2 linked regions of the Kluyveromyces lactis genome follow. The protein of the gene in region 1 purifies or fractionates together with the protein of each later gene. This does not show direct contact. Links are inferred from orthologs where the notes say so. Each region holds a gene or a part of one and is shown on either strand. Other genes may lie near its edges. The genes, in order: KTR3 and SVP26.

Region 1 (3,212 bases):
TACTTATGTTGTCTGTGTAAGGTGTTTCAAGCAAACCTTCTTTTCAGTCTATCTATATTTAAATTCCCGTCATTCGCGGATTAACTAACTATGCGCGAGTAAGAAAGCAAAGAAGAGATTAGTCACATGATTGTGAGTTTGAAGGAAGACCTGTCGTAGGTGATAGGAATTGCGAGGAGCGCAGTAGTGAAACGGCTTTGTAGTCGATTCTGACTATGCCTACACTAGATAAGTGGTTAAACGATTTGCATGTTTTTCGAGGGTTCATCTGGTGATGACGACATAATGAAACTGGTTCGGACCTAATAAACGTAAGGTACAGAAAGCATAGTTCAAGTAGATATTTGTACATATACATACATACGCGGATTTTGGACAACTAACCTCTGCTAACTCTTTTTTATGTTGTGTATGTGCATGCCTATTGCATAGAATTGAAGATGGGAGACGTTTCTATATATGTATCAAATGTTGCCCTCTAAAATCAACTTTTGTTTTTAGGTTAGTATATAATGTGTCAGGAGAATGTTTAGTCTTCAGGTTGTTTTTTAGTACAATTGAATTACCTGACCTCCTTTGGTAGTTTCAAACCACGGGCACCGAAGTATTTTCTTGTGCAGAAATAACTGTCACCCCAAGTTTGGTCATCGCCTGGGTCACATGTACATCTGTTTTGTAATCTGATAGCTTCTTCCACAGGACATGAAGTGAATCCTGGATGGTAGTATCCTATGCCGTCGAAGAAATGGAATTCTTCTGGTTCTAAGAAAAGTGCAGCGGCAATGGAATGAATCGGAGCATCACCCCATCTCTCGTAGAAGAACCCACCGGAACGGTCCAAGTAGTCGAAGTACTCACGGTAGGCAGGGGATCTCCATAATTCTAGCGATGCGATTTCGAAGTTAGACCAGAAGTGACACATGTTATAAGTCTTACCACCATCGTTGGAGATAAACTTCATCAAATTATTTTCCTTGACGTGTTGTGGGTATTCCTTCATGAAATTTTTGGTGGTTTCCCATAAAGTAGGAATCGTTTTTTCGTATTCGCTAACGGATAAGATGAACCCGTACTTCTTGTTGTTTTGCTTCATTAACTTAAAAACATCGTAGTGAATATCACAGAACAACTTGATATCTGGTTCCACACGCCAATACCATTCATACTCGTCAAGTAACTCGTGTCTCCAGAAGAATCCGGATTCGTATCTACACATATGTCTGTAAGAGACGGAGTCACCGTAAATGATACCGTCTTCTTTCATCTGTTTTCTGACTTCTGCCGCCTTATCCTGGTCAATCCAGTCTGGGAAGGACCAGTGTTCCTTTGGAATCACACCAAATTTAGCGGTACCACTGACCATTGCTGTCATAACACTTTTGAATTCCTCGTTGAACGGTTCATCGTTCAAAAAGACCCAATCGTAATGATAGTTCTTGTTGAATCTATCTTCAACATCCCTCACAGATGTAACCAAATGCCATAAATCTTTGTTTCTTGCTAAGGTGACCATACAGGCCTTTTCTCTAACACCATCATCTTCTGGGTAAAAAACGTTCTGAACCTTATCAGTATGAGGCTTCAGGAACTTATCTTTTGCACCACCAGGACTCGACACTGCTGGTTCGACAGTCTTTGGTGGAAGCACTGGCGTTTCGCTGCTACCATTACCAGAACGTGTAATGAACACGAAACATAAAACCGTGATGAATGCAATGAACAGCAATCTAATATGACGCTCATATTTCTTCACAAGAAATGCCGATTTTGGCATGAGCTTTTTCTTCGGCTGCATCTTTTACTGAATTCGATTAACCTTTGATCCGTGCTTACCTTTCTTTGATTCAGTGACAGGTACAAGACAATGTGAATCGGAATATCTTAAATCAAATCAAATCAAAACTTGGAATAAATATGAATGGAAACAAAGTTTTTAAAAGATGATATCCACGTATATCTCAACGTCTTGAATAACTATATTCTAACAACCCAGAATAAAGTAGCAATGAAACCGCTTAAGGGACTTCAGGATGTAAATAGACACTTGAAACACGTTAAATTGTATGACACACATCCTTAGAACAGGTGTGGATTAGGTGTTATTTACATACTTCTGTAAACTTTTTTTTCATCGGTGAAAAATCAAGAAGAGCGACACCTAGAAGGAAAAAGAGCGTCGAAAGTGTGGAGAAAAGCTGGAATGAAGATAGATTCTTACAGTGAAACTACTATGTTTTATTTCGAGCTTCTAATGGACATTCCGAATCCGGTCCCAATTCACTGTTTAGCTCCTGTTTTTATTTTTTAAAAGTACACCTCTGTATATGCGAATTATAAATTAAAAGAGTTCACGGCTCGCATTAATGTGTCAAAATGACGTTTCATCGGATTTACTGAGAAATTTGGCCCACTTATCCAAAGACTGGTGATAACCTAGCACTAAAGGCTCGATGTGGGACCCACACGGAAAAATTTCCGCAATCAAGTTTTCATTGGGACTGATGTGGTTGATGAACAGTTCGATTTGATTCTTGAACATTTCTAGATCACCATATGTGATGAACAATTTAGTGTCGCTGAGAATTTCAGTCCAAGTCTCCCTTGGAATCGATGTGAAATTCAAATACTTTAGGTATTGACTGGGATCAACTACGTTTTGCATGTAAGAATTTTGGAAAACCGTTAAAACTTTCATCGATAGCATATCTACGTTGTAGCCGTTTAACCTTTCAACGTCTACAGAGTCTCGGTCTAAGACGTTGCACCATGGAGATATTGCAATGGCGCGCTTTGGAATTGTCATTTTATTTTCGTGACATTTCAACAAGATGTTTAAGATCAAATTTCCTCCGCACGAATCGCCAATCAGATTTATTTCCGTAAACGTCTCTGTAAGCTCAAGGTACTCTTTCCACACATAGTCAATCGTCTCAGGGCAATTCGCCATTACAGGGTAATCTAATACTAGTATGGCAACATCATCGTCCAATTTTTTGCCTACGGTCCAGAGGACGATTAGCATCCACGGAATTAATCCAAACATGAACCCACCACCATGAACGTATAATAACAATTTCTTGTCAACACCAGGTTTTCTATCCACTGGTGCCGTCCGAAGCCAGTATCCACTATGGTTGTGTTTGGGGAAACGGTACGCCTGGAATAGTAGCCAAGATAACAAGCCCATCCATGGATTCAAAATATATCTTATG
Region 2 (2,999 bases), on another chromosome or scaffold:
TTGTTTCAATTCCTTGATCAGGCTTGCATCCCTCCCCTTATTCTCTTTACATTGTCCTAGTAAAGATTCATACCGTTTCAGCAAGTGATCTAAACTTGTGGTATCAACCTTGTACGACTTCAAACTCTCAGTAATCTTCTCAACCACTTGTTCCCCCACTATAGTTACTTTAGGGTCTGGTGCCTTTTTCATCGACAGCAGCGATGCGTTCCACACATTATTCAAATGATTCAAGAACTGTGAAAGCCGCATTATCGATTGTATATCTTGTGTAATCGCATCGTATAACGAATTAACACTCACGGTGCTTACGGGGCTCCAAAAAGTGTACCTTAAATCCATTACTTTGGTGTGTGGGATGCCTACCACTTACAGAGAGGAATGTTGTTCGTGTTTCGTAAATAGTATCCAATGTATCTTAAATAAGCAAGTCATCGACTTTTTTCAGCGAATACTCTTGAAAGATTTCAATAGATTGACAACACATCAGGGCATTGCCATGCATCTACTATGAATGCAAGTATGTACGGTTTATTACACGTGTATATATATTATCAAAGCAACAACCCTTCATCTTTCTTGCTATCCTTCAATCCAAATAGTTTGCCTATGGAATAGAAGTATTCTCTAATGTAATCGATGACGATCTTGGCTAAACCCTTAGCTCTTCTTCTCACACCTCTAGAACTCTCGGCACCATCGCCATCCTCGTTCTTTTTCCTTTCAATGTGTGTAGGTAGCACATTTTCTCCAGCGGATAACGACACGAACAATGCAAATGGAATAAACCATACACAAATTCCAAAGAATGATGCCACTTCCGCGAAAGACGCACGTCTTCTTGGCACATAGTTAGGGTCAAACCTGAATTGAGGTGGGATATCAACATCATTGAAGTATTTAAACCACAAGTAATGATTTATAAGAACTAGTACGCAACTCAACATTAACGTAGGGTTCGTCAACGAGATATATGGGAAATGTTTCATATTCTGTAGATATACCACGTAGGTAAAGATAGAAAAAGCCGTTAGCAGCCATGGGAATCCATCGAATAATAGAAGTAGCACGTAAATTCCGATTATAGTGTATATTGCTCGATATAGCAACCTTCTTGTGGGTTCAGTGTATTCTTCCACTAACTCACTGAGATAATACAATCCTGATGCTGTGGATAACGTCAGGAAAATAAACCCCAGGACGGTACCCGCATAGGATAAAAGTTGAATGATCATTTTCAGATTTGAACCAGCGGCTTAATTGACCTTCTATGGGACCACTATACAGATATATAGACCTGTAATTTCCCCAAATGTGTCGTATCCTACATGTTTAGTACCGTTGCTCAAATTGAATCTTGGTTTTTTGTTAGTAGAAAGTTGAGAAAAGACGTCTTACCCGGATACAGCGATCATGTGTTAGTCTTAGAATAAAGAGAGGAGTGGCACAGTTCTAAGCTAAGTGGCTGGCCTGAAGGAGTGGTTAGTGGGGTCACAGTATCCAATGGGCAGGTAATGTGTTGTTTAGCGTAGTGAATACTCAAAAAATTGAGTGCGTTTCTTGTACAGTGAGGAATTATAGTTATAATTGATTAAATTATAGTAATAAAAAAGATAAATGCCACCTGCCAGAATTGAACTAGCGACCTTTGCATTACAAGTGCAACGCTCTACCACTAAGCTAAGGAGGCATCTTTACAGGCGGTTAAAATGTAAGTGCTCCATATATCATGGCATCATTAGACCACACATGCTCACTAACCATATACTGCTCTTTGCTGCTTTCTCTGCTTTTACCACCACAATGGCAAACTTACATCAATACATTCATTAATCAGATACACACTTTTTTATTATATCTTTATATACCACCGTACCACCCCTCAGACGATACTATCCACCCAAGAAATATCGACATTATTCTCATCCAAGATCTCTTGGTATTCGTTACTGGCGCCAAATAGTTCTCTGGTCAATTTATCCATGTTGGGTACTCTACCGTTGGACAAACTGATATCCAAGATCGTATTGATGATGCTTGAAAAAATTTCAGCGCATTTGGCTGCAAATACCCATTTGGCACCAAAGTGTCGAAGCACTTCAATACATTGGTGTATTTCGATCTTGGATTCAATGATATCGATGGACCATTGGCATAAGCAATAGAGCATAGTGTTGCATATAGTGAGTACACGGAACAAAGTGATCCAATTTAACGGTAATAACTTTTTCTGGTATAAGTTATAGGTGTATTTCAAGGATTTGAGACATGCATCCCCCAGAATAGTTAGAGAATCCATCGCGGGTTTTGGTATCAAAGCACTTGGTCTATAAATCATGATCTGTAGTTGGTAATACCTCATGGAGAGCCATGTATCTGAATGGTGGAACGTTATATTGTTTGTTTCTTGTTTGGCGCTGTGAATCTTAAAAGTCTCTAATTTGTACAACTCATCCAATTCCTGGCGTAACTTATCTATCACATTTTTCTTTTCTTCTGCATTAAGCTTTCTTCTTGCAGCTCCGACGCTATGCACTTTCCTGTAAATGCGCCCTCCGATTCTTCTTAAACTTATCATCATGTTGGTGACTTCTATATCGTCCTTCTCTTCTTCAAATAAAGCTCTTGGTGGTGGAACGCTAATATCATCGTCGGATAGGCAGGATATTCTACCCAAGGATGTCGCAACTAGACGTTCGAACGAATAGAATGCCCAAAAAGCTCTGTATCTCATCTCTACATCAATAACTGACATCGTTTTCAATTTCTTAGGTGTTAATGCACGGTTCAAACCAAATCCAATGCATAGTCTCATTATCAATCCACTGATGGTCCAAGAGGAAACACCCTTCGGTTCGAAGAATGAATATATACCCAATAGTAATAAGCACTTGATTGTCTCAAGGTTCTGTAAATGCATCACGGGACAGAAGTTTTTCATGGCCAAGTATGCAAAATGTTCACTCAACCCTTCTTCCTCCGATGTTAACATTCCTGCT

The links.
Region 2: the proteins of KTR3 (region 1) and SVP26 purify together in Saccharomyces cerevisiae (affinity purification with western blotting; 5 studies listed by BioGRID). This does not show direct contact. The link is inferred for Kluyveromyces lactis from reciprocal best matches to the Saccharomyces cerevisiae genes KTR3 and SVP26.

The regions. Positions count from the first base shown.
Region 1 is NC_006041.1:2,047,351-2,050,562, forward strand, and holds KTR3 (mannosyltransferase KTR3), read right to left. Parts: upstream 1,796-3,212; coding exon 563-1,795; downstream 1-562. Other genes in the region: SAY1 (steryl deacetylase), read right to left, coding at 2,369-3,212. UniProt on the Saccharomyces cerevisiae protein: Possible glycosyltransferase that transfers an alpha-D-mannosyl residue from GDP-mannose into lipid-linked oligosaccharide, forming an alpha-(1->2)-D-mannosyl-D-mannose linkage.
Region 2 is NC_006037.1:809,203-812,201, reverse strand, and holds SVP26 (Svp26p), read right to left. Parts: upstream 1,236-2,999; coding exon 555-1,235; downstream 1-554. Other genes in the region: RGD3 (Rgd3p), read right to left, coding at 1-342; STB5 (Stb5p), read right to left, coding at 1,883-2,999. UniProt on the Saccharomyces cerevisiae protein: Plays a role in retention of a subset of membrane proteins in the early Golgi compartments. Facilitates endoplasmic reticulum to Golgi transport of mannosyltransferases MNN2 and MNN5.